Linked DNA regions of Alligator mississippiensis. The protein of the gene in region 2 interacts with the protein of the main gene of each other region in a biochemical or structural test. Links are inferred from orthologs where the notes say so. Each region holds a gene or a part of one and is shown on either strand. Other genes may lie near its edges.

Evidence for each region.
Region 1: the proteins of guanine nucleotide-binding protein G(q) subunit alpha (region 2) and RGS4 form a complex in vitro, tested with the Homo sapiens proteins (3 studies listed by BioGRID). The link is inferred for Alligator mississippiensis from reciprocal best matches to the Homo sapiens genes GNAQ and RGS4.
Region 3: the proteins of guanine nucleotide-binding protein G(q) subunit alpha (region 2) and GRK2 form a complex in vitro, tested with the Homo sapiens proteins (3 studies listed by BioGRID). The link is inferred for Alligator mississippiensis from reciprocal best matches to the Homo sapiens genes GNAQ and GRK2.
Region 4: the proteins of guanine nucleotide-binding protein G(q) subunit alpha (region 2) and RIC8A form a complex in vitro, tested with the Homo sapiens proteins (2 studies listed by BioGRID). The link is inferred for Alligator mississippiensis from reciprocal best matches to the Homo sapiens genes GNAQ and RIC8A.

What each region holds. Positions count from the first base shown.
Region 1 is NC_081828.1:40,943,482-40,950,460, reverse strand, and holds the start of RGS4 (regulator of G-protein signaling 4), read left to right. Parts: upstream 1-3,979; 5' UTR 3,980-4,103; coding exon 4,104-4,147; intron 4,148-6,979. UniProt on the Homo sapiens protein: Inhibits signal transduction by increasing the GTPase activity of G protein alpha subunits thereby driving them into their inactive GDP-bound form. Activity on G(z)-alpha is inhibited by phosphorylation of the G-protein.
Region 2 is NC_081826.1:199,600,267-199,607,140, reverse strand, and holds the start of guanine nucleotide-binding protein G(q) subunit alpha, read left to right. Parts: upstream 1-3,863; 5' UTR 3,864-3,880; coding exon 3,881-4,016; intron 4,017-6,874.
Region 3 is NC_081825.1:176,049,688-176,056,838, forward strand, and holds the start of GRK2 (beta-adrenergic receptor kinase 1), read left to right. Parts: upstream 1-4,131; 5' UTR 4,132-4,853; coding exon 4,854-4,966; intron 4,967-7,151. UniProt on the Homo sapiens protein: Specifically phosphorylates the agonist-occupied form of the beta-adrenergic and closely related receptors, probably inducing a desensitization of them. Key regulator of LPAR1 signaling.
Region 4 is NC_081825.1:179,403,599-179,410,793, forward strand, and holds the start of RIC8A (synembryn-A), read left to right. Parts: upstream 1-4,186; 5' UTR 4,187-4,454; intron 4,455-6,678; exon of another isoform or gene 6,679-6,762; intron 6,763-6,961; 5' UTR 6,962-7,061; coding exon 7,062-7,145; intron 7,146-7,195. Other genes in the region: BET1L (BET1-like protein), read right to left, coding at 120-267.

The DNA.
Region 1 (6,979 bases), on a different chromosome or scaffold from region 2:
GGCTTGACAAGACCTCACAAACAAGACAGCCTGGAAAATCTCCCCCAGGTCAGGGTATCACCAGTGCCAGTGTGACATTGATAGGTCATTTGTTCAGTCTTAGACATCCACAGTCAAAGATGGAGCCACTAAAGGTCAAGAACATAAACACTGACCCAAGGGCAAAAGCTGCTCTGAGGTACGTTTAAACAGAAACTGAGATTTAGGAAATCAAGATGGGTCTCACATAGCTCTCTGCTTGTCCAACATCTGTTTATTTTTATCTCTACTAATCTCAGACAACCAAATAATGCCAAACAGCTTATCAAGCGGGCGTAGTTCTTGGGACTATTACATGTCCCCCTGGTTACCTTATTGCGTGCTTTCTGTTCCCAAGGAGATTCATGGGAATTATGAGTAAACAGTAGGGCTGTGTGAAGCTTCAGTCCCTGATTCTATTCGGTGGAGATTCAGCCCAGTTCGGTGGCTGAATCTCTGAATCTGAATCAAATCAGAGGACCCTTTAATCTCTCTGAATTGAATTGGAACCCTCCAAATTGATTCGGAGAGGTTCGGAGATTCAGATATAGAGACAGTTTTAAATGTTTTTTCTACACACCTCTAGGTAGCAGGAGCTCATGAACACCGTGATGCTGGGGTGCATGGAGCGTCCCACAGAAGTGCGGGGTGCTCCCCAGCACGCACGGCAGCAGACCCAGAAGTGGATCAGAAGCACTTCCAGTACACTTCTGGGTCTGCTGGGGAGAGTGCGGGGGGCCTCTCCAGCTCGGTGACTGGTGCCTCCTGGGTCTGGGGGGGCACCCGGGGTCCCCCTGCAGCCAATCACTGAGCCAGGGGAACACGGAGGAGGGGGCCCCCAGCATGCTCCCCAGCGGACCCAGAAGTAGACTGGAAGTAATTCCAGTCCTCTTCCAGGTTCACCGCCGAGCATGTGGAGAGCCCCCCACAACAAGCTCCTGTGGGATGCTCCATCCACCTCAGCACTGCAGCATTCACAAGCCACGCTGGTACCTTGAGATAAGTAGAAAAAACTTTTAAAGCTGTGTCTATGGCCAAATCACTGATTCTCTGAATCAGCATCGAATCTTCAGATTTGGATTTGGCCGAATTGAATCAGGGACAATGACCCAAATCAACCAATCTAACCACTGTCCCTGATTTGGGCCGAATCCGAATCGAATAGGGCCCACTTTGCACACCCCAGTAGACAGCCATTACACAAGACATAATCAACCCCCACTCTCAGCCTTCTTCTTTGGCAGTCCCTCACAGCCGAGGATGATTGTTTTCCATGATTGTCTTATCTGTGTGTCCAGAGATGGCTGATGAGGCCTATCTGGGATGGACAGACTCTACTGTAACTCAGACAGGTGTTTCCGTGTGGGGTGGGTGGTGCTGTATTTTTGATTTGGTCCATCACACGCTGTTTCTGCCACTCCCGCTTTTCCATCTCCTGTTGTTGTCATGAGGTTTCAAAGTACTGAGATCCCTGGAGTAGACTCATTCTCCATTTGGGGCGGTCCTGGGCGATAGTCTCCCCTGAGTTGATATTAATGTTGCATTTTTTTAAGTTGGCTTTGAGGACATCCCTGAGGCGCGTTCTCTGCCCTCTTCTTGAGTGTATGCTTTTGAGCATACTCTCAGCTAAGCCATGGCTCACACCAAAGCCAGGGTGAGCAAATATGCCAAAGGAAGAATGTATTGAACTAGGCTCATTCTCGAGGTGGGCCCTGGAGATAAGCAGGCTAGTGTTCTGGAGGGCTCTGCCAGGGGAGGGGAACCTCTATGCCACTATTTTTCTATAACCCTGCTCTGAAGAGAAAGGAGCTGAGTTCAGTTTCAACTTTACTTTAAGGTGCAGTATCCCGTCCTCCAGGCCCCATCAGCTCAGCCAGTTAGGCATTTTCTCCTTGCCTTTCCCATTCTGCTTTGTTCAGGTCTCCTCAGTGCCACTCAAATGGCTGCAACACCTCAGGCATTTCAGAAAATCCCAGCAGACACCTATCTGCATCTTCAGGCACCTAAATGTCTTTAACAAGTGGCTACTAGAGCTAACACAATGGTAACCTAAATGCATCTTCCCTGTATTCAGTGTTTTGGAGTTTGGCCCACTGCTGCCCCATGCTGGAAGAGCCGCTGCCACTGCTGCCATGTTCCCTGGGTGAGAGCCAGAGTTGCCACTGCCATGTGCCCCATGCTGGAGCTGGAGCTACTGCTGCTGACACATGCCCCAGGTGCTGCCATCCAAGAAGGGTGCTCTATAGTTCTTCTTGGTTCAGCTTCTCCCAGAAACAAGTGTCTAAGGCAATGTCATCTGAAGGCAGCAGTAGCACAGCAGCTTGGAGAAACAGTGCCTCCAGGTTGAACTGGTGCATGTTTCAGCACCCTTGAAAGGGTCTTAACTGGTGTTAAGAAATTCTATTTCCTTCAAACTTATTTCTTTCATGGGCCCCTGTTGAATTAAATCATTGCAGTCCTATAATACCATCCTAGGATTCACCTACTGGTCCAGATCAAGTCCATTTTTGCCCCCAAAACCACTTAATGTGAGCTCAGTATTATTTTTTTAATGATTATATTTCTCTATCTCATCTCATGCCTTTGTTCGTATTAAAAGAAAAGGGCTTAGACAGGCTTCCTTCCTTAGATAGCCTTGGCTTCTTTGTTACCCTGTCAGTGATTTATGAATACTGCCTACTCAACATGAAAATGAAGAATTATTTCAATCCTGCACATACTTGAAACAGTAGCCATGACGTTATCTTCCCTTTCTTGCATAAATATACACAAACATTTTTGCTTTCAGGTGTGAGCACATACATTTGAATATACCTTCATGGATGCAGCATTTCCTTGCAAGGTCTGTACTCAGTACTGGCATGGCACGTGGGGTTTGTTTTTTCAGTCTTCCCATAGACTCTCATCCCATTTTACTCAAGAAACACCTCATATTCTCTAGGGCAGGGGTGGCCAACTTGTGGTATGAGTGCTACAAGTGATACGAACAGCCTGTGTGTGTGATATGTGAAGGCTGGCAGGCAGGGAACAGGCAGCACAGTGGCAGATAGAGTGGGAAGCAAACAGCAGCTTGTTCAGGGAGCACTGGGCAGGGAGCAGAAAGCAGAGCAGCAGATCAGGTAAAGGAAAGCACCAGTCCAATGCCTCAGGAACAATGAGGGTCTAATTTTTGGCATGCCTGCCAAAAAGGTTGGCTCCCACTGCTCTATGGGGGTGTCTACATGAGATGCTATGGCACAGTAGCAACGAGCTATGGCACAGTAGCTCGTTACCACTGCACCATAGTGTTGCCAGGCATGAACCATGATGGCAATGGTATGGCAAAGTAGTAACAAGCTCATTGCTACTGCACCATAGTGTAAAAAAAAAAGTTTAAAAGTGCAGGGACGGTATTGCATAGTAATGCTGGTTACTGCGCACTGCCACCTATGTAGCCGTGGCCTATGTAATGTATTTCTTTATTTCCCCTGGGCCTCTAATTTTTGCAAGTTACTGTCTATGCTGATTCTCTGGGGACAGAAGACATTTATTCAGTCATCTAACTCAAAGATGTTGCCCACTGTTTAGATTTATCTTAAATGTAAGGGGAAAATGAAATTAAGTAACTCACAAATTTACTCTCCCTTTTCTCGGTCACCTTTTCCCAATCCTCCCTTCCCCTTTCCCTAATAGATTGAAAGAAACAGCCCATCTTATGCAAGGCAGGAAACTCACAATATTTTTTTTCCACTCTATCCAGAGATTCCAAATCTGCATGTCAACTGTGATCTGTCATTTCTGGTAAGGTTTTCTTTTTCATTGTATCTTTTTTGTCCTGATTCATACGTCAGTCTCTTCCTCTTTTCCTGTTGTGTAGGCAAGGAGGGGGTGGCTGCTGCTGCTGTGCTGATTTCTGACTGGCTGGAAAAATGATGCTGGACTCTTTGGTCTAGACTATAAAACAGACCCATGCTGGAGCCAGCAGGCTTAGAAAACAGAAGCACTGAGAATTCTAAGCAAATAGCGCAGCAGGTAAAAACCCGGACACAGCCTCAGCCTCCTCTTGTACTCTTTTCTGGAATTGGGACAAGAACTCCAATAGCAAAATGTGCAAGGGACTTGCTGCATTGCCGGCCACTTGCTTAAAAAGGTAGAGTCTATTACTGAGCATTTTTATTTTTTAAGTTTATAGTCGTGTTGATGTATTCGAGACTGTATCTAAACGGTATTTTACAAGTGTTTCAATCAGAAATAATCAAATTTGAATCTGTTTTTTCTCCAAGATGATATATAATTGATTGTTTAAGGATTTCTTTTTAGGCTAGAATTGGATTGCATCATGGTTCTTTGCCAACTATTGTGAATTCTGGACTAGCTCTAGCCATCAGCATAAATTGCCTCTGTGCATTTATGCATTTTTGCTCTCCTTTATTATATGTTACTGCAGGGTTGTGTCAGCCTCACCCTGTATAGCAGAAGAGAGATCTGTTTTCATATTGAAATTCAGGAATGACAATCTATGTGCATGGTATTTTAATGATATTTGTTTGATGTGTAGCATAATTCCTGAAATAAATGTCAAACTACTTTATGCATCTAGCAAAATAGGTCTGGTTTATAATCATAAAGGAAGGCATATAACAAGAAAATTAAACAGCTGGCAAAAGCAGAAACCAGATGGTTGTTTTGATGGGTGCTAGGGGGACAAGGGCTTCATAATGCAGTAAGGTGCAGTATTATGTAAAACTGAAGATGAGGGGATGGCTGTGACCTGGAACAGGAGGCATGGAAAGAAATGAAAGAGCAGGTTCACAGTTTTGCGGCCAGAGGCTGTCTCTGTTTTTCAGACCTTCCCTTGGGGAGAGGATTCTAACAGGCTTGTTTTACCAAACCTGTTAGTTAAACATTAGCCATTTGGTGCGCGTGAAGTAATGCCTTATGGTAGGGCAGGTAGCTGTCAATATGCATCACTCCCTACTTCCAGGGCATAGAACAAATGCCTTGTAAATCAGCCAAAAATATGGTTCAGAAATCAACTCCCTCCCTTCCCCATTTCCCTCTAATTCCTCGAAAGCTTTGGCCAGGTTTGCTGGATTCTAAATTACTTTGGGACATTACTGTCTGAGAGTCTGGATTCTTTTCTGCAGTGAGTTGCCTCAGTTTCTCATTCTGACTGAGAGTGGGACAAAAAAAAGAGGGTCAACTAAGCAGGCAGATTTTGCAGGTGGAAGAAAGGGGATGTCTCTTTAGTCCTCTTCACTGCTATAGGATGCAGGAATCTGTCTCCAGAGTGACAATCAATCCACCCTGGCCATAAGCAAATCCTTCTGGACGGTGTGTCTCAGAGCTTGAACAAAGCTGGGATATGGCAAGGAGAAAGAGACGCCTCATCTCATCCTTATGGAGAAGTCCTATAGAACATCCCAGAGTGATGGCCTCTCTAAATCTGTCCTTGGGTCATCTTAACATAATGCAGAGTTCTGTCCCTGTCACTGAAATCTATAAATGGTTTTCAGAGCTATAGAAAGGACAAAGCACTTTAACTTTAATAGCTTCTAGAAGGAAATTCACTTTAAACCTAAACATCTCTTGTACCCCACTGGTTTCAAACTTGTACTGCTCTCTGGGGCTGTGCCCAAAGGCCTTCTCTTCAGACTCACACTGCTAGGTCCTGCCCATGTCTTGTTACATCTTCTTGTACAAGTTCTTCCAGAGCAAATCTGGCCTCTCTGCCCACCCAACCGTACCTCTGGGCCAAGCAAGCCCTGACAATTTGCCACCTTCTTCTCTCTGGCTTCGATGATTTAAAGAAATCCACACATGCTAGGCACAGCATAACTCTGATGCTAGGCAAACAACCTTAACTCTGATTACAGGAGACTGAGTGTAAAGATATGCAACTTTTTTCTTTTCTTTTATCTTGCTGTCGCTATGCCAGCACGAAGTCTGCACAGCTTTTAAACAGAGGCATATGTCAATATGCAATAATTGGCATATATGCATATTGGCTCATTAAATAATTGATATGCAATGTTGCATCTGGAACTTGGCACCTTTAGGAGGTGTTCTCTGCAGTGCAGCTTAGCACACTGACTGTTGACTGGATCATGGCCCTAGCTGGGTATATAAGACATAGTAGGGCAGAGAACACAGTCAACTGGACAGGCAGTCCCTCTTTGTGCTAAGGAAGTGCATAAGGCAGTTTCTTCCTGGGATAGAGAGGCACATACATCCCAATACCTTGCCATAGCTCAGTCCTGTGTTGTTTCATGATGCATTTTTTAATGGGTTCAAGGACCAAAGAGTTTTCTGATGGTATTAATGCCCCATCATGAGGACTTCTTTTCTCAGACTCAAACAGAGGCAGCAATAATATGTGGCACTAATGAATGGCAGCTCATTAAGCAAGTGGGAGACGCACACAATCTCTCTTGGGGACCATGAATTGAATGAAAATATTGGTACCTCATTGCAGAACTGCACACTGAGCAGTGGGAATGGAATCACTTAAAGCAAGGAATCCATTTACTGTTCCCAACTTTACTCTGCCTGTTATTAGGTTGGTCTTGCTAACACAATTTTCCTGTTTTATTTCCACTCAAGTGTGCTCAGAGTCAGAATGTGAACATGACAGTGTATTTATTTGCTGAGAGACTCTCAGATCTATTTTTTTTTTTTTTTTGGTACATAAACTGAATCATCACTAACTGCCAGGGCTGTGAACTCAAAGCTGGGTCTGTTTATTTTGCTATGCACATCAATGTTAGTAGTAAGAAGCTAAATGCAGACCCATTTTGAGCTGCCAAAACCAATGGTAATTGCAGATATTCAGCTCAGATATCCTGCAGTTAGCTAATGATTATCTCAATGATGCAGGAGGCAGAATAGAATCCAATACCCCCTGTTATTCCTGAATTCACTACACAAAGATCAGTGATGGCCTTACAATTAGGGTCTGTACTAGACTATAGAACATAGGACT
Region 2 (6,874 bases):
GGAAGCTGAAGATGTAAGTCTGTTCCTCTGGATCCATGAGAGTGTCTTTGTGAGTTGCTCTTTGTTGTGCAGATCAGGCAGGATTCCTTTCCTGGTGGTGTCAGATGGCAGATAGGCAGAGAGGTGTAGAAATCTACAGGCGGGCAGGGGGTGCAGTGCAGCCCAGCTGTGGGATGCACATGGCATTGCGGGGCCCCAAAAGCAGTGTCAGCAGCAGCAGGGTACAGAGCCCAGTGGGCAGCAGCAGCCCCCCTCCACCTGGCTGCCTGGGCTCCAACCCTCCCACGACCTGCTTTGGCTGGGACCCCATTCACCCCAGCCCCTGCCCCTGTCCCTTCCTCACTCCCTGCCTCACCGGGGGGGGGGGGGCCTCAATCTGCCATCCCCATGCCCCTTCCCCTTCACAGAGCAGACTGATATTTGCCTGCTGTGCTGGGCAGTGATCCACACCCTGAGCTGTGATCCTGGCTGCGTGTACACCCCTCTCCACCCTTGGAAAAGAAAAAGCAGGAAAACGGAAACGCCTCCACCCACTCCTGGATGTTTTGGGAACCCCAAAGCACGGGTGCAAGCACCTGCTTCTCCTTACCTGTCCATCACAAGGAATGCTGGCCTGGGCACTCACTCCCAGCCCCTGGCGTCAGAACCACAGCACTTGACAAAATTGTGAACCAGCCCCCTTTGGAATGGTTTAATTGTTATGTGTGTCCACACCATGCCTCACAACAATTGTAAGCAGTTTCCCATCTGCAACATTTTGGAATAGTTCAATTGTTCCATATCCACAGATGGGCAATAAGTATATTGTTCACAGATACATTGGCTAGTATAAAGAAATCTATAAGAGATATAAAGCCACTGGACAAAAGTCAACCATTATCCTGATTAGAGTTAAGAAGCAACTTCTCCCATAGATGTATTATTGCATAACTGACCATTATTATTCAGCTAAACCATCGGTTAATGGCTACTGGAAGAGAAAAAATACATGGACCTTTTTTCTGAGGTGGTGTGAAAATATTTATATTCCTACCTATTTATAAGAATATTTATATTCTTATAAACAAGGACTTTTGATCAGTTGACCTGTGATGTTGTAGATCCACCCATCATGTTACCACATACCTACCCGTATATGAGTTCTTACCCAAGATACATACTGGAGGGTAAGACTAAACTCTTAAAACCTTATACTGCCCTCAAATTACATGTTAATAATCCACAGGTATCAATGAGAGGGGTGCAAGCAGATAAAGTACAGTACAGGGCCACTAAACTTTGAAAACACAAAATTAAAAGTTATTTTCACATTCTTGGTATATAAGTAGTATTCAGAGTCTGGAGAGACTCTTACAGTCCCCTGTAGTGAACATATAAAATGGGATTATCAAAGTCTACAGAGTGCTGAGTCAGACTTCCTCCACTGCGGGAAGATTACTTCATTGCAGGGTCTTTGAGGGCTGAAGTTGCATGTGGTAGCTGTGCCCTCACTGTGCAGAGGACTTTCGATCAGTTGACTTGTGACGTTGCAGATCCACCCATCATGTTACCATGCACCTACTCGTCTTCCAAAGCTGCCACAAATTTTTTCAGTGGCCTGGGATTCATGCTTATGTTTCTTGGCTGCACTGTGCTATTGCCTTCTGTGCCTTTTATACCAAGAGTGCAGTTTTTAGCCTTTGAGGAAGTTGTTCTGGAAAGAAAAAGATTGTGTTATCACCGTTCACTTGATTACTGATTACCAATTTTATAAATGTGTATGTGTAAGTATAATGTCATGAATGACATACATAAGAATGACATACATGAATGTCATATAAATACCATGTTTACTGCAAACTAATGTCTATAAGCTATATGTTATTGCTAAAGTAATTATTAACACATACATACATCAGGGTCATAAATCACACACACAGATCTTTTTTTTAATCTCAACATCCATGTCAGTTTAAAGAAATAGAGCCTTTTACAAAAAATTTGAATGAAAAAATAGCATTATAGAATTTAACCTAAAAAAAAAAAATTACACTTTTTGAGTTTAATGATGCTTGATTTCAGAAAGAAAGAAGCATGCTTATAAAAACAACCAGTAAGATGCAGTAACTGGTTTTAAATAGTATGACATACATTTTGGAGCAAATTAATACATTTTTTAAATTATGAAGTAAGAAGAATTATTTTCGCACTCTAAAAGGTGCTGTATTGATCAATACATTTTAACCTGCAAGGTCACAGCTAGTCTAATGACTTGTGGCAAGCACCATTTAATCCATACTTTCAGTAGCAGCAGTGATCTGTTAAAGCACAACATCATTTTCAATAGTTATGTCAACAGGTGCTGGAAAGAGCATCATGTGCATCAGATTGGTGGTGGGAGAGCTATGCATACATTTAACTGCCTAGCCCCTTTATAAACTAGTGTCCCTTCAAATTTTCTCAGCCATGGTTAATTTAAAATGGCGGTGGGAAAGGGAAGAATGTGGAAAACTTTTAAAGACTAATGAAACCTATGCCCCACATCTTTTTCACACATGTTCAGTCATATGGCATTGCTCTGGAGTGGCAATGTAATCCTACACAGTATAAACGCATGAAGTGTTGACCTGGGGAAGTAAATCACACACCTGGTAGCTTTTATCCCCCTACTGCAGGGATAAAACATATATCAATTTGTGTAAATGGTAGCATATCAGTAAGAGTAGTATCTTGCTGCTTTTCTTTTTTGCTCTGACGGATGTGAAAGGTCTTTGCTTGTCTTCTTGTGTATATTAAGCCCCGAAGATCTCACTGGCACGGCAAGTGACAACTGGTGCCCGGGAAACTTTTATCCCCAATGTTTTTAATTTCCATCTGAAGACATAGAGAGGATTGGTTTGTTTTTGTTGTGTTTTTTGGCCTTCCCTTTTCCCCTCCAGTGAATTGTTGCAATGCTACCAAACGATCTCGTCCAAGAAGAGAAGGGAGGGCTATAACAAAGTGCCATGTTACAAGCTGCACAGAGGCAGACAAAAGCAGATGTGGGGGGGGGGGGGGGGAGAAAAAGAAAAACAAAGAAAAAACACCCCCAACCCCAAAACATGAGGGATTAAAAAAATAAAATAAAAAATCCTGCCCTACAGGATAAATGTGGAAGACAATGTTCCTTGCGGCCATTTGGGGTGGGGGAGAAAAATACACTTGCTCCTCGCTGTGTCCTTGCTCTTGGGGGGGTGCACATCCCGGGCAGGGGGATGGGGGGTGATGTTCCCAAGGTTTGCATTTGCGGAGGGAGCCGTGAGGTGGGCTGGGGAGAGAGCGAGGGAGACGGGCCGCCATATTTCTGCCTTTACCACGCCCGGAGAGGCGAGCCATTGACAAGTCGGGCTGCTGGATACATATTGTGCCTCTGCCTTCCCCCTCCGCTTGTAGTAAGGGAGAGGCAGGGACAAGGGGCGACAGCTCCGTCCGCCGCGGGAAGTAAAGCCCATTGGCAAGAAGATCCCCCGGCCCAGCCCAGCCCGCCCTGGCGCTCTCCACCGCCGCGGGGCAGAGCGGGGCCGGCAGCCGCGGCTATTAGCCGGGGGCTGGGGCGGGAGACGGGGGAGGAGGAGGCGGAGTAGGAGGCAAGCGGCGCCGGGGGTGGGGGTTGCGCGGGCCGGCGAGGAGCCGCCCGGTGGCTCTTTCCTCGGTGCCTGGCAGGGAGCGGAGGAGGAGTTGGCTCCGGCAGAGGCGTGGGGGTAGGGGCCGGTGCCTGCGCCTGCAGCCGGGCGGTGCGGTGCAGGGCGGTGCGGGCCGGGCCGGGCGTGTCCCCCGCGGCGCGGCGCTGCGCTGCGCGGCGCGGCCGGGAGCTCCGGGGGGCGGCGGGGGTGGGCGCTGCGCCGGAGCCCAGCCGGGAAGAATGACTCTGGAGTCCATCATGGCGTGCTGCCTGAGCGAGGAAGCCAAGGAAGCCCGGCGGATCAACGACGAGATCGAGCGGCAGCTGCGGCGGGACAAGCGCGACGCGCGCCGGGAGCTCAAGCTGCTGCTGCTGGGTGAGTGTGGGGCGCCCCGGGGAGCCCGCCCGGCCTCGGCCACGGCCCCGGCCCCGGCCGCTCCCCGCCACGCGCGCTTGCACACGCAGCTGTGGACATGCGTGTGCACATACACGCCCATACGCGTGAGCAGTTGTGCACTCGTCTGCCAGTTACACACACACACGCAGCAGTGCACATGCATGTGCAGGAACACAGCACGGAGGTGGACACACTTGTGCAGAAACATGCATGTGCACCCATCTGCCAGAATGACATGCATACACACAGGCAGACATGTACACACATATGCCAATGCAGATATACACGGGCAGCTGTGTACACGCACCCATCTGCCAGTATTACACACATGCATACACACACCCATGGGCAGCTGTGTACACGCATGTGCACCCATCTGCCAGATCTTGCATGCACATGCATACCCCCCCACACACACACAGGCGGCTGTGTACATGCATGCACACCCATCTGCCACTGCTCTTGCATGCATGGTTGGCTCCAGCTGTGTCTGGCTGCAGGGCTGGAGAGGAAACTAGAGGGGAATCAGCTCCCTCACAGCCCTGTGGGTGGATGGAGGAGACCATTCCAGTTCCACGCTCCCTGCCTTCTTCTAATGGGCACTTGCCACCAGCGTTGTGATGCTGATCAGGGCAACTAGGCGGGTGGGGGTGGGGGTGGGGAAGAGACACAGGGTGGTATGTGTGCAGGGGGTGAAGGGTGGGTGTTGCATTGTCTCCCTCAGCACTGCGACTACAGATGTGGCTGAGGCAATAATCACCTCTGGTTTCAGTTGGTGGGGAGGCTAGCTGTGGCCTTCCAAAATGGAGAGAGGGGCTGAGGGGGTGGAAAGGGATAAGGGAAGAGACTGATGCTTGTTTGCCACAGGCATGAAGAAGCAATGGCAAGGCGGCAGCTAAGTGAAAGGGCTGGAGGGGGGAAGCTGCTTTGCAGATTGATGGTGACAGGCGTTAATGTCTGTACTGTTCTGGGAGCCCTGGCGAAGGGGGCTGCCTGGCTGCATGTTGGAGCTATGATTTTTATTTAACGAGGTAAACGGAGATACATGGGATAGGCTTAGTTTATGGTCTATATCTGTATCTCTTTATACACATATTTATACACACACACATATATATACAGTGTGTGTGTACACATACATACACGCAAAACCTGAGCTGCACCCTGAAACTGACTTGTAGCCTACAAGCATGTCTGAGACTGACAGGTTCTTTAATACCTTTGGAATCCACCCATCGGTTAGGAAATGTCATTTACAGCATACAGCGGCCTTTCTTTTTAATCTCGGCAGAAGCTAATGCCATTTCAAGTAATTCTTTCTTAGAAATGTGGCTTATGTGCTCAAATAAGCCTCTTGAGTGAAAAGAAAAGGCTCCATGTCCAGACTATTGTAATAACGCATAGCCACTGTGGTAAGGGAGCTTTGTGCCTTGGACTAACAGGCCCTGAAAAATGTCTGCACCACTGTCTGGTGTTTGTGTGTCTGAATGTGTGTTGGGGAGAGCAGGGGGTGTATTGTGAAATCACCTCTCACATTCACAAGACGGGGACTATCCATTTTATTCAAAACATTCTGTCTTGTACTATGCGTAAAGGTGGTAGTTGATGCTGGGGAGTAAATTGTCTTTCAAATGAGCTAAAGGTGAGTCAAAGTGCAAATTAATTGAAATGACTGTTTATGAATCCATTCTTTCCCCTGGTGTTATTTTAATAAGATGATATTATTAAATCATATTGGTCTTAGATTTAGATTAAGGTATTGGGGTTTTAATGGGTGTGGAGAAATAGCAGGAGGAGACAGAGGTTGACATTAACATTACAATTACTTTGGTTTTGGTAGTGTAAGAGTGGCATTGTATGCGTAATGGTCCAGACAATAATGTGAGTCAATAATGTATATAGTTGGTCCAATAAAAGATATCACCCTAAGAAATCCTTGCCTCCCCCTTTGGTTTTGGTTTAATTTTGCATTTTCAGGTTTGAAGTAGAGAATAACATAACCTGCATGTGCTTTAATGGATATTTACTAAAATGTTTTATACATTTTATTCAAGAAGAATTTGACTGGTGGTACAGTAGTTCTCAGTTGTTTCTGCATTTCCTAGGTTTTCCTTCAATAATGCTTGCGGGTTTCTCCCAAGGTTTTGGAGAAGTAAAAAATTTGTGGAAGGATATAACTGTGTTCTCTCAAAAGTAAGGACAATTGAAAAGTACAAAATATATAGTTTAAAAGATTTAAGCTCCATTCTACAGTCTATGATGGATGAATTTAACTTAATATACAAGTAGTCTCAGTGATTTGTAAGATTTGCCTGCTGGTAAAATTAAGTGCATGTGACTGATAGCATGATCTGGGCCAAATTTTGACACTGCTTAAGCCAAATTAAAGGGGTCAGATTTAAAACTAGAACCAATAAGGGGCTGTTATTTTTATAGATTGGAAGAAAATACAGAGTTTATCCGTATTAGGGATTCTTGCACTGTTGTTTCAATGCTAGCGTAGACCTTCTGTTTTAGTATGCTTCATTAGGGCAAACTGAGAAAATTGCAGTAGTGCAACTCTTTTTTATAAAGAGTGATGCATCTATATTGGGTGTCCGTGCCAGTGTAGCAAGATCAGTAGAGAAGTCCCTGATGCATAGATGCCTTAATTGTTTTTAAATAAAATTTTATTAAAAGGAAACTTGCATCTTTAAGTCATACACATGACTGAAAATGGGGGTGGTGAGGTGGGGTATGTGTATTGTTGGGCTTCATACCTGAAAATGGTATATGAATTGTTGGATTTAACACCTAGAGCTCTTAATCCTGAAAAAGTGCTCCATACAGGCAGTCCA
Region 3 (7,151 bases), on a different chromosome or scaffold from region 2:
TCTATATCAAAAGCAAACCCAGAGAGGCTCTTACCAGTCCCACCTTCCATGAATGAAACGCTGGATAATCAGAAAGAATCCAATTGACTTTTCATCATTTTTCCTAGGAAGGTGGATTTTCCCCTTCATTCCTCTATACTGGGGGGCTAGAGGCCTGCACATGCATTGTCCTCATGTTGTCAGAACCACAGTGTCTAGGATATAAGCATGGAAAGGAGGAGAAGCTTTCACCAGTTAACCTGAAAACAATGCTTTTCATGGAACATCGTGCTTGGTCTTGTGTTTGCCCAGCTGGGAGTAGCTTGCTACTTGCACTGCATCACTGGAAAGGATCCAGCCTGCCTAATTCCACCTCACTTGATTCTTTGTCTTGATCAGTATCACCAGACAGATTTAAAAAAAAAAAAGGGGGGGGTTGGTTTTTTTACTTCCGAGAGCTGTAGGTGTTATCTTTTTAATTGTTTCCTAAGGCTTAAATCTTGTTAACTCAGAAGTTATCTGCACACTCTGGCTGGCACTCTTTGGAGCCGTGCTTTATGAGTAGTATTCCGGTAATGCTTCCATCACTACTACCCTACTTCAAGATCAGGGCCATGTTGTATTGGGTGCAGGACGGACGACCTCATGTAAGGTGAGCCCTGCCCCAAGGAGCCCACAGTCTAAACAGAAAGGAAGGAGGAGTATTCTTGGGCCACAGTGAAATGAAGTGACTTGCCTACAGTCACCTAGAGAGTCAGTGGCAGTGCTGAGACTTGAACTTTGGTCCCCTGAGTCCCAGAACAGTACATACCAACAAGGCCACCCTTCTGGCAATGCTTTTCCTTTAAGACTTCTTAATATTCTTCTCCTTTCTGGAGGTTCTTGATTGGCAGCAGTCAGCGCCAGCAGGAGGGACCTGCACTTCTGCCTCTACACGTGCCCAAGTCTCATCTCCTCTCTTACCACAGGGATATGGGAGCTGATGGCCCAGCAGGGGCCAGGAGGCAACTGCTGCGGCTCTGAGAGAGCTGGGTTCACTCCCTACCTTGAAGGGCCATAGTACATTGTGGGCTGAACACCTCCATGTGTCCTCACTGCCACCTATGTGACAGGGCTTAGGGAACACATCCAAATGGGCTGGACAATACTCAGCTGGGTTTAAATTCACAGCTGGAGGAGGGAGGAAATATACCTCTGCCCTCTCAGCCAGCCACCTCTGTGCTCTCGGCCATTGTTAATTTTCCCAAGGTCCTAAATAAAACCCATAAAGCAAGGAGCCAGAGCCAGTCAGAAAAAGGGAAAAAGTGTTTTGGGTTTTTTTAACTCTTAGGAAGCATCCAGTTGTAAATGCTGCCTTGGCTTCTGCAGGAATTGGAGCAGAGAGGTCTCACATGCCCATTCTCTTCTCTGAGCCGGGTGTCCCAGCCAGACTACATCTCCCACAGTCCCCTCTGCTTTTGGAAGGGGGTGGCAGGGTATCACCGGATATTTTGGCTGTAGTACATCATGGGAGGTAGGCATGAGGAAACCAAATGCTGGACCAGTCCCAAACCCTGCTTTGTTTGTTTTCAGATGTTTGGGATTTGAAGAGGAAAATCTCCATCTTCTAAGGGAAGCGGATGTTCTCCTTGAAGAGCCGCCTTTGGTTAAAAAGCCAGTTTTCTATTAACAAACCACCCTTTCTGATTAGACCCATGTCCCAGGTCTGCTTCTCTGGGACCTTGGTCAAGGTACAGACCTGAGGATAAGACAACAGTGCTTATTCTTGTAAGGATAATGTGCCACATGAGCATGTCTTAGCAAACATGTCCCCAAGGCCGGATTAATACATAGGCAAACTAGGCACATGCTTAGGGCCTTAAGTGAAGAAGTGGCCCGGTTGTGCTTATTTGACATGTTACTTTTTTCACTCAATAATTATAATATAAATATACAGTATTAAGTAGGGAGGGGACCACGAATTTGTTTGCCTAGGGCCCACTAAAGGGTTAATCCCTCCTGCAACCAGTTAGGCACGTGCTTAACTTCCAGCGATTAGGTAGTCCCATGGACATCGCACCAGTGAAGTTAAATATGTCAATATTGCCAACTCTGCAAGCCTTACAGTGTTGGGTGCTATACGTGGGAGCCCCTGGTCCCAGTCGTGATTCAGTAGGAGATTCCCTGCTTTCACTTTAACAAAAAGGTAAGTTTCTCGTCCTTGTGGGCTAGAAGAAAGCCTGCAAAGGCTTGGAAACCAGAAAGCAAATAAACCAGTTGTTTTTTAAATACCCATGGTTTTTGAGATGGCCTCAGGACTTTGTCTCAGCCCAGCTTGTGAATTTTGAAGCCTTGTGGCTGACGGTCCTGGAAGATGGAAGCGGCACCATTTTGGCAGAAAAATAGTAAGCAATAAGATGGCAATGTTCACTTTCCTCCATCATTTAATAGTGTTGGAGTGATGTAGTAGCCATGATTGTCCAGGAAATATGCGAGAGGCAAGGATTTTTGTGGGCGATATCTTTTATTGGACCAACTGTATAGTTGGGATAGACTTAGACAAGCTTACGAAAGATGTCCAGTAAAAAATATCATCCACAAAAATCCTTGTCCCTAAGCCAGTAGTTCTCAACCTTTTTAGACTCAGAGCCCTGAGGCACCCCTGACTAAGCACAAGGCACCCCTTGGAAAATGCCACCTCTTCATTTTTACTACAGAAAAATAACAGGGCAATTCTTCTGTTGCAAAGAACTCAGAAAGGCCATAACAGGGCAGAAAGATTTTTAACACTATGACTTCCTATTTGAAATCTCTGGGTTTTTCTTGTGAATCGTGTTTACATACCTGCTAGCGCTAACAGTATGTGGCACCCCCAGCACCCTTGAAAGGATCTCTCAGCACCCTAGTTGAGAATCACTGCTCTTAAGTAATGAAATATTTTCCATCCTTCTCATGGCTTGTGTGCTGTTTGCCTCTTGCCTGTGGAATTTGTCTGGGCAATGATAGGATCATTCTGGTTGGTTTCACTCCCATTTTTAAGCCTCTTGCAAGGGAGGGAGTGGGGCTTTTTATCCCAGCAGTGAATTTGACTTGATTTCCTTTCCAAATGGACAACACTAGCGGTAGCATATGTAGGGGTGGGCAGCGGGACAGCAGCCCCAGAAATTACTTGTTTTTGCCTCTAAACGCTGGTATGAATACTCAGAGTCCAAACAATAGGTGGACTCCTCTCTCCAGCTGTGCTCTATGCATTTAAAGACAAAGCTCGGGTATGCTTTGCCAATAGGAAGACCAGAACTGATTTTTCTTTCACATGGGGAGCTGATTGGCAGGGCCCTCATCCTTAGACTGGTAGTTCTGAGGCAGGCTCTGCCTTTTCGTTTCAGGTGCATACCAGGCCAGGAATGTGTTTCATCCCTGTGGACTAGAGCACTCCAGCGGGGTGCAGGACTTTGCTAGAGATGCAAAGACTTGAAGGTTAGGCAGGATCACTGCAATAATCTAATCTGACTTCCTGCATCGTGCAGACCAGCAAACCTCGCCCAGGAATTCCTGCGTCGGGCCTATACACTTATGGTTTGAGCTAGGCATCTCGGCTCAGCTCCCAGTCTATATTCAGGGAAGGGGGACACAGGGTGTACCAGGTCCCACGCTGCTCAGATGCAGACCTGCCCCCCATCCCAGTCCTCCACTGTCCTGGCAGCATGGCAGAGAGGAGATCACAGGTTGCAGCTTGGTAGGTTTTCATGTGGCTCCTCTTTCAAAAGCAATTGCCCCTGGGAGGACCTGCAGTTGTTACTGTGCCCTCCACATGCTGCACTTGTGTACCTGATGCACTCACGCAACCAGGTAAGTGGTGCCCACCAGGCCACACGTGACACATGCAGCCAGCTGTTGTGCTGGCACCGCCATCGTCAGAGGCTTTAAGCAACATTTTGGGGGGGGATGTGTGAGACTTCAAGCAACAGCGCGCGCGTGTGTGTGTGTGTGTGTGTGTGCGCGCGTGTGGCGGAGGAAAGGAACAGGAGAACCTGGCCTTGTGTGTGCAGGAGAGAAGGACGAACACATCAGCTGAGACCTCCAGAGGGCAGCGTTCAAGCTCTCTGTCCTCCCAAAAAGCTTCACTTCCAGGTTTTCAAGGCACTGTGACTTTAAGCTGCAGCCAGGGAGCGGGGGGGGGGTGTGTGGAAGAGTCTGCATGAGAAACACACAAGCCTGCAGCCAGCCAAGGAGGAAGAGTGTGAGTGCAGGAGCCTATCCTCAGCGCCTTGCTCTCTCCCCCTTTTCTTTTTTTAATGCCCCTACAGATTCCTTGGAACTTCTTATTTCCCCCCGCTTGCACTGACTCAAACACATCTTTTAATCTCCGGGCCCAGGCCCCCCCCTTCCTCTCCCCACCACACACACTCAGCCTTCACACTCTGCTTCCCCCGAGTTCACACCCGCACACACTCCACTGAAAAACAGAAGCAGTTGTCAGCAAGAACGAGGGGAAGACAGCCGGCCAAACCCCAGTCTCAGGGCACTGGAGATCCGCCTCCCTTGTGTGCACACACACACGCGCGCATACACACTCACACACACAGCCCTAGAGAGGAAGAGGCGGTGAACAGCAGAGGAGCTGGGGCTGATCAGAAATAAGGAAGACGGGAAAGAGCTCGCTTGCTGCTTTTCTCCACAGGCATCATGTGGATCTCTTGGTGAACGGGCTTGGGGGGAACGTACCCCCTTTTTCTTCCCTCCCCCTGCCCCAAGCCCTCCCTCCCCCTTCACAGCTGGCATCAAGGGGGCAGCGGGGGGCTGCCTCTGCCGCTGAAGCCTGGGGGAATAAAATACAGTAAATAAGCTTTTTTTTTCTAAATAAGAAAGAGAAGGGAAAAAATTTTTCTGGCAAGATGGCCGACCTGGAAGCTGTCTTAGCCGATGTGAGCTACTTGATGGCCATGGAGAAGAGCAAGTCCACTCCGGCAGCCAGAGCCAGCAAGAAGATTCTCCTACCTGAGCCCAGGTGAGCCCAGGCAGGTGTGGGGCAGCTGGATACCTAGGCCCAGCCACATCCCCTCCTCCCCCGGGAGGAGGTCAGTGTTCGGTGGGGTATTGCAAAGGACCCACCACCTTGCCCTCCAACTCCCCCTCCAAAATGCCCACCCCCAGGGCCTCCCTGGAGGCAGAGCTGCCAGCCCAGTGTGGGCAGAGGGGTCTGGGTGGCATTGCTTTAGGAGGGGAGCAGTGTGTGTGACTGGGCATGGCGGGGCAGTGGGGGTGGGGGGGAAGCTGGTGCTTTCTGTCATGTCGAAGCTGTTGCTTCCTGATTCTTCTCCCTCACGCCAAGCCCAGGTCCTTCTGTTTTCCTGCGTCCCTCTGTGTGCCTGCCTCCTTTATCCCCCACCCAGGGAGAGGGGAGAGAGGGTGGTGATTATACCCCCTCCACTTCTTTCAAACCCACCCCTCAGACCCCAAATCTAGGTTCCCCTCCCCTTCATGTCTGTCAGCGTGCAGCAACCGGGGCTGTGCTCTCCTTGCCGAAGCAGCCCTAGCATCCAGGACTAGTGAACCCGGGCACCTTGTAACAGTCAGGGATGTTCGTTAGAGATTGTCAAGCATGCACCTGCGGGCAGGCACAGGGGACGCTGTCTTGACCTAGGGGTACACAGACCCTGGCATGTTCTCACACCTTCTGATCCCCCACCCTTCGCAGGGTCTGGACTCAGCCCCTGCCTGGCCCAGCCTTGCCGTGCTGTGCATCCATCAAGCACATGGTCAAGGGTCCATGTAGTGCAGCCCAGGGCAGGAGATGTAGCACCCATGGCACTTTCTTCCTCCCAGAGGACTTCAATGGGACCACCAGGCTGCTGTGGTCATGGCCCAGCCAGGAAAATGCAGCTGGTTCTGGGGTGTGAGGGATCTGGCAGGGAGGAGAGAAAAGGCCTTGAACCAAGGGCTCTAGGGCTGCCTGCCCCCCGCCCCTCATCTGTCTCCCCTACACATACCTCCTGTGCTAGCCATGCTGGACAGATTGGGGCTAGAGCTGTGCAGAGTGTGTCTGAGATGGGCTTATGCCTAGTGCGTGCAGGTGGGTGGGACGAAGGGATGGATAAGGAGCTGGAGGCCTGGATTGGTGGTTGCGGGGGTGAGTAAGAATTTGGAGGGAGGGGGCCAAGTCATCCAGATTCAGTGCTCTTGTCTCCAGGGAGTTTAGCTAGACTAGACCCCGCTACCCCCCGAGCAAGACCCACCCCTCAGCTTTATGGAGACAGTTTACATTCAGGTCCTGCCAGTCTCTGCCCTTCCCCAGTATCCCTGTTAAAAAGCATCTCTGCCCCACGCTGCCCCTGACAGCCACAGGCATTGCCAGGCCCTGGGAGAGGGGATCTCAGAGCTCAGGCCCCTTGTTGGCCCCAGGTCCCAAGTGCCCCCTGGGCCCATAGCACGATGGTGTTGAAGGAAGCCCAGGCCCCACCACATGGGCACGCTAGGTTAGTGATGACTTGTGGGAGACAGCAGGAAGCCAGCACCAGGCCAGGGGGTGCTGAGAGGTCACACCACCCTGGGTGATTTTGGTATGAGTGTAGTCCATCCAAATGCATGTGCGATACCCTCTGCCCACACTGCCGGTGGGGATAGACCCCAGGCTCCACAGAGGGAGATGGCAGCCTTGCTGCCTCCAGCTGCCCCCTGGTCAGCACAGCAGGGAGGCTGGCCTGGGGAGTTTTCCCTCAGATCTTTCCCTACTGGAAGTAATCACTTGTTTGGAGTGCCCCCACCTCACAATCCCACTGTCTCGGTACTCAGGCTGGGTGTGTTGACCCCCCCATGTCCCAGAACAGGATGTCTCCTAGGTCCAGGTCTGCCGAACCCCTGCCCTGAGTTGTCTCTTCCCCCCGTAGATTCACACACCTGATCCTTCCACACTGCTCCCTCCCCCCATCATTGCAGGATCAGGGTCGGCTTTGCCAGCCCTGATGGGGGCGTTGCACAGGGGGCGTCTAGGCTTAGGGGACAGAGGGCACTGGGGCAGGGTGCAGTGGAGCTCGGCCTTTGCAGGTGGGGAAGTGGTTTGGCCTTTACATGGCTGTGGGCACTGGGCTGAAGGCACAGTGAAGGTTAGGGCTGCATGGAGGGAGAAGTGGGGGCTTAGCTGGTGTGTGAGGATGGGGGCCCTAAACCAAGATGTGGGGCTCCCAGTGAGGACT
Region 4 (7,195 bases), on a different chromosome or scaffold from region 2:
GGACGGGTGGGGTGGCAGGGGGCCTGCAGCTCTTACGGAGCCAGTTATCAAAGGGACAGGTTGAAAACATCTCCCGCCTAATACCTGCCCCTCCAAGCGATACAAAAACAGAGACGTACTCCTAGCACCTGGGCAGCACTGGCAGGCATGAAAGGCACCTAGCGCCAGCCTCTGACCTGCCAGCAGCCCAAGCAAGCCCCGGCCAGGCAGGTGAGCGCGGTGGGAGGGCAGGCACACAGCACACGGGGTCGGAGGAAGAGGAGGCATCCCCCCATCCCCGGGCCGGGGCTGGCAAAGCAAAACCTCCCCCAACCAAACAGCCGCATGTGCGCCCCCCCACCGCCCCAGTCACGGGCAGCCCCAGGGACACCCCCAGCATGCAACCGCACGACCCACGCCCGAGCCCCCGGCAGGGATCCGAGCTGAGCGCCCCGCGGCCCCGCTCACCGCGCCCCCACTCCGCCATGGCCGCGGCCCGTCTCCGTGGCCGGCCCCGCCCCGGCTGCTGCGGGCGGAGCCACCGCCGCTCCTTGCCCCGCCCCCGCGCCGCCTGGAGAGAGCCCGGGGCACAGGGGCCGGAGACACTGGCCTGCGGCCGGCTTCCTCCCTCCCTCCCTCCGAGCGGCAGCAGCCGGGGTCTCCAGTTGCAGCAAGGGCAGATTAAGCTGTTAGGGGGAAATAAACCCCGCTCACGCTAGGAAGGGAGCACAGTAAAGGAGCAGGTCGCCTGGCAAGGAAACGCCGTGTATCTGCGTCCAGGAAGGCAGGGTTCCTCAAGCGCTCCCGGGCAAACCTGCTCTTCTGGTGCCCGCCCCGGCGTCGGGGCTTCAAGCCCACTTGATGCAAACGGCAGCCGCTCTCTAGCTCGCTCCTGCGGCCACACGGCTGAGGCGGGGCGAAAGTCGGCGGCATCTGAACCGCTTGGGCCCGCACCTAGGACACCTGCTAAAGGATTTTGGAAACATCTGCAGCCTCTGGTGAGGTGGAGGATGTTTGCGGGCTGTAGGGCCAGTATGGTTCTGGGCTGACTCCGGGATTTGGACTTGATTTGACTGGGAACATGAAACATTTCTTTAAAAAAACAGGTCTTCCAGAGGTGGTGGCCTCTCCATCCTTGGACGTTTTTAGGACCCAGCTAGACAAAGCCTTGGCTGGGAAGATGTAGTTGGGGATGGTCCTGCTTTGAGCAGGGGTTGGACTAGATGACCTCCTGAGGTCCCTTCCAGCCCACATTTCCTAAGACACCACTCATAAAAGCCCCTCGCCTCTCTGGCAGGTTTCCTGGGACATCAGGGCTGCAGCATCCCTCCAGCACTGCCAGACACAAAGGGCACGCTTGTCCAGCCGCAGTTTGACTTCCTTTTTTCTCCCCTCTATAGCAGTGACTCTCAGGCGGGGCCATGGCACCCGAGATCCTTTTTAACCGTGCCACACAATACGATGCACAGGGTAGACCCAGCGACTTCAAAGAGGAATACATAGCAGCAAGAGCCATCACACCTGCTGTGAGAGGCAGGAATTCTTGTGGGCGATTCTTTTATCGGGCCATCTGTGCGCGGTTGGGATAGACTAGTGCTTCTCAACCTTTTTAGGTTTGAGGCACCCCTCCATAGTCTCAAGGCAGTCTCCATAGGGACTGGAATTAGAATTATTGGACTGGACAAATTCTTGGGGAAAAAGGGCATCAGTATCTATTGAGCACAGGAGTTAAGGGTCCAGCCTCTGAATTCAAAGTTCCTGGACCTTAAATGCTAGAGGTTGCAAGTGATGGAAGAAAGTGAATAAAAACCAACCCTGGTCTTGTCTTGTTTACTCTCCCTTTCAGTATCCATTTTCTGCCGCTGTGTGACACAGGCCTATTTGACACATAGGGTTAACGTGCACTTTACCACAAAGCAATAGTTACTCTCCCCGCATAAGCCGCGGAACAGGGTGGGGCACCCAGGCCATGGCCTGACCAACATTTAGCACGTTAACTTAACTAGCTATGCAGTTAAAAAAATAGCTATACAGTTTTAACCGGAATGGCAATTGCGCATTTGTGGGTTATATAAATTGATGTGCTACAAGTTGGTCAGGCTGTGGCCCAGGTGGCCCACCTCGTTCTGCAGGCTATGCCCCCTGTTATTAGAGGGGGCAATTGGGTATATGTCAGTTGATTTCAGGGGACAACTAAAGACAAAACAGGACTGGGAGTGAGGTCAGAGGTTCAAAATGAGTACACCAAGGAGGGGGACACTGAGCAGAGTACACTGGACAGTGCCCACTGAATAAGTCCAGGGAGCTAGTGGACACTGCCAAGTGAAACTTTGTCTGGAGACATGAATGGACCAGGCACAGGAAAATGGCCCTGCAGTCCCCGGGGGGCCCCCAGCCAGAGCCTCTGTGTGACAGGCCTATTTGACACATGTTGGGAACATGGCCCTTATGCCCACAGATCAACAATTACCTCCCCTTAATAATAGAGGGAGCTATTGGGTATGCATCAGCTGAATTCATGGGACAAAAAAAAATACAAAACAAGGACAGGAGTGAAGGTCACAGGTTCAAAACGAGTGCACCAAGGGGGACAGGCTGAGCAGAGTATGCGGGACAGTGCCCACTGGCCCTCAAGTCCAAGGAGGCAGTGGACACTGCCCAGTGAAACTCTGCCCAGAGACATGAACAGACCAGGGACAGGAAAGTGGCCCCACAGTCCCCAGGGGCTGCCCAGCCAGAGTCTCTGTGTGATACAGGCCTATTTAACACCTATTGGGGACATGGGCCTTAGGTTCACATGTGTCAACTGATTACTTGAGAAAACAAAAGAAGCAGGGACAGAGTAAAGGTCATAGGTTCAAAACAAATGCACCAAGGGTAGACATCATGCAGAGCACACGGGACAGTGCCCACTGGTCCCCAGTCAAGTCCAAGGAGCCAGTGAACACCTCCCAGTGAAACTCTGCCTGGAGATGTGGATGGTCTCCCTGGCCAGAGCCTCTGTGTGATAAAGGATCCCCGGCCAAGATGGACCTATAGTCTGATACAGTCAATGGCAATTCTTATGTTCTTACAGGCTGGAGGCAGCCCATCAGGAAAGGCCAGCTCTTATTTTTCACTCATGTTTAGACTACAGAAAAAAAGTAGAGCAATTCTGTTGCAAAGAACTTATGCAGGCCATTCCAGGTCTGAATGCTTTTAACACCATGGATTCCTTTCCTGACATCTCTGGGTTTATTTTGTGAATCCCATTAGCACACTCAACAGGGACAACATTGTGTGGCACCCCTGAAAGGACCTCAAGGCATCCCTGGGTGCCATGGCATCTTGGTTGAAAATCATGGGTGTAAACACCCAAACTTCTGGCTATCCTAGGACCCTATCTCAGGCCTGTGGCCTTGCTGCGTTCTTTGCAGCAGCAGAACGGCTTGATTCTTTTTTTCTGTAGCAGAAACACGAGTGATAATGAAAAGCTGGCATTTTCCAAGGGTTGCCTTGAGTCTCATGAGGGTGCCTTGAGTCTGAAACAAGGTTGAGAACCACTATTGTAGGGATTCCTAAAAAATGAGGGTTGGAAAGGACCTCAAGAGGTCATTTAGTTCAGTGGTTCTCAACTTTTTTTTGTACCAGGACCCATTTGTAAACATTGATGGCCAGTCTGGATTCACTCCGGACCCGCTGCCCCCAGGCCCTAGCCCCTCAGAGTGTGAGGCAGTGGAGGCCCCAAGCAGCCCCTGGCAGGCTGGAGCTCTGCCAGCCTGCAAGGGAAAAACCCTGGTTTCCCATGTTTTTTTCCTATAAGGAAGAATCCATTTTTAAAGTTTCTTGATCCATTTTCCAAGTTGGTTTGTGCCCCTTTCATATATTCTTGTGACCCACGGGTTGAGGAATGCTGATCTAGTCCAGCCCCCTGCTCAGACCAGGACCAGCCCCAACTACATCATCCCAGCAAGTCTTTGTCCAGCTGAGTTTTAAAAACCTCCAAGGATGAAGAGTCTGCCACCTCTCTGGGTGACCTGTTCCAGTGTTTTATTATCCTCCTCAGGAGAAAGCTTTTCCTAATATCAAACCTGAACTTCCCTTGCTGCAACTTGAGCACATTGCTCCTTGTCCTGTCATCTGCCACCACTGAGACCAGCCCTCCCCTGGCAGGCAGCAGGATCCGCCCCTTGCATTTTGCACAGTGCTCATGTTTTTTTTATATTCCTCTTGCTCATAGTGCGGGGCGGGAAACAGCCTCAACCCCTGACAAGGCTCCTGATTGCTTGTATGGTTGGCAGGCTGGTGGGTGATCTCTGCCCTGTCCCACAACCCCAAGCCTCCAGGTAAAGCAGCTCTTCCCTTTGCCTGGGTCTCCACCCAGCTTCCAGCCACCCCTCCCTGCCTCCTCTGGCTGAGAGCTGGGGAGGGCTAGGGGCAGCAGCAGTGTCCAGGAAATGAAGCAGGAAACCTGAGCCAGCGCAGCTAAAGAGAAGGTAACTCGCTCATCTTTTCTCCCTCGGATGGCTCATGGCAGTCAGACATCTCTGTCCCCTTGGCCCCTTAAAATCCCAGCAGAGGTGGCCTTAAAATCCAGCAGTTTGTTGCAGCCTCTGCCACACTTCCATGTAGATTCTCTCTGCAGGGTCCCTGCTTGCCTGAAATCGTCTCCATTTTGTCCCTTTTTTCAAGCGATCAGCAAGGACTTGCTTCACAGGAAAATAGAAAGCCACATCTCTATAATTATTCACTAATGCTGTGATCCCACAAAGGCTTCCGCAGAGGAGCTTTGCCACCAGGAGTATTTTCAGTTCCTCTTAATGGGATTGCTCCCAGATGTAAAGCTAAGCACATGAGTGAATCTCAGTAGGATGCTGGTCAAAAGGAGGAGCAGGAAACCAAGCCTCCTCCTGTTTTCTTAGGGGACTAAAGGTGACAAATAGGTCTGTTTTCTTAGGGGTTTGAACCCTGAGGAAAGAATGGCAATAAAGAGGAGGAGGGGACCTTAAACAAGCAGAATAAAAATTGCAAAGATTGAGGTCAGTGGTTATTATAGTCCATCTCCTGCATTGTTATGTGATGCTGGACTGGGCAACATGCTGGAGAGTACTGTGTTAGGGATAAATCCTGCACTGGTCCTAAAGGAAGGAGCTGTCTGTTCCATCTTTAATGTCTATGCCGCTATGAAATCTCTCTTAGTTCATTGTGTGCATATGTGGACGTTGTATTCCTGTTTTTCTTCCCAAATAATTCTATATGGAGCAATGAGATGTCAGAGTGGGCGCATCTATAGGTGCACTTTAATGTGTAGTAGCCTATTTTACTGCGTATTAAAGCATCTCATAAAAACCATGCTAATATGCGAATGCGTTGTAAAAATAGGCTAGTGTGCTTTAAGCTTCGCTAAAAAAGCATGCACTTTCACTACTCCATATTAGGGTAGCCTAATGCTCATTTATTTAGGATCTCAAATTCAAGGTACCAAATTTAATGTGCGTCAGGAAAAGTGCATTAATGGACGTGTAGACATACTCAGTGTGCATTAAACTGACACTCTGACTTTAACTGTGATAACTTTGTAGCGATGGCACAAACCATATGGCAGAGGTTCTCAAACTGTCGTCTGCGGACCACCACTGGTCTGCAAGCTCCATTCAGGTGGTCCACAGATAGGTTGCAGAACAATCAAAAATATCTGTAGTTGGCCCTGCATTTGATTTATTTTTTCTGACGATGGAGATTAAGTGGTCCGCTGAGACCCTCAGCAATTTTCAAGTGGTCTGCGAAAAAAAAAGTTTGAGAACCGCTGCTTTGTGGTGTCTTAACCCGTGTCTACATTGCGCGTTGTGGCAATGTAGACACATTTGAGTTGGTTTTAATCTAGCTAGCTTGGAGAATGAGAGCAGTGAAGTCACTGGCACAGGTGTCAACCACTGATTACCCAAGGCTCTGGGTGGGTTTATATGGACCAAAATGACACTTGCGCTCTTGCAACATTGCTGCTGTCAGTACCTATGCTATCTAGATCAAAGCCAGTCTGGGTATTTCTGTGCATGTTGCAGTCAGTCATGACTTTCTGTGGCAGTGTAGATATAGATGTAGATGTTTGATTCTGTAGTAAGCAGCTCCCTTTGGAGTCTAGGATTGGGGCTTTGTGTCATTTTACACTACCCGTCTTCAGTACTATTGCAAAATTTGTCACACAGCTATAGAATCTTAAATCTTTGTGCTTTCACAAGTGTGTGGAATCATACTGTGATTTATGATGTGACCCCTTATTATTATTTAAAGTCACAGTTTCAGCACTGTAAGCCTATGTGGTGCTTTATAGACACTTTAAACTCATGCCTAGCCTTTAAACATAAATGTGTGTCTAGTGGTTTATAACAGATCACTTGGCTTTTGAGATGGTGTAAACCTATTTCCTCCTGTATCATGAAGACACACACTTGTGTAGTCTGTTCAGCATGTCCTCCAACTTCCCTAATTACATAGCCCTTTGCAGGCCCCAAATGCACCAGGCTGGGTTTCTTTTTGAAGAAACTGCTGAGGAACTCTTTCATGCCACCTTTAAAAGACTGCTCCACCTTAACCCAGTCGGGATGGAGCTTGTCTGTCTATGTTGCTCTCTTGTGAGCCCCTGTTATTCCCCAGGGATGTTTCTGTGTGTCTGTGTGTGTTGGGGGGGGGGGTGATTTCCTCTGTGCACTATGAGAAATCAGGACAGTCGGTGGTGGAGGAGGAGAAGGAGGGCTATTTCAGGGAGCTGCAGTTATCTGTTCTGTGTTAATCCTCAGGCTGGGGGTGAGGGAGGTTTCCTAAGTGATTTAGTGGGAGGGCATATATTAAACACTGAAAGGCAGAGAGAAGGAAGAGGATTAAAGGGAGGGGGAGAGGGAGAGAAAGAGGAAGCTTGTGGCTGGTTTTACTGGGGATGTTCATCTGCTTTGCTTTTTAGGTATAACAGAGTAAGCAATCGCACTTGTTTTTTTCTCCCCCCCAGCTGTCTGTGTGGCAGGGTCCCCCTGCATCTGTAATTATCCAGCAACATAGCAAAGCCCCTCCCCATCTCGCCTCACATCTGTATCTAAGCTGCTGGAGCAATGGAGCTCAGGACTATGGTAGCGACTGTGGAAAGCAGGGAGCAAGACACAGTCCTCAAGGTGCTGCAGATCTACAATCAGGAGGTGAGTGAGTATGGCAAGCTGCTGCTTGATGTTGCCTTTCCCTATTTATA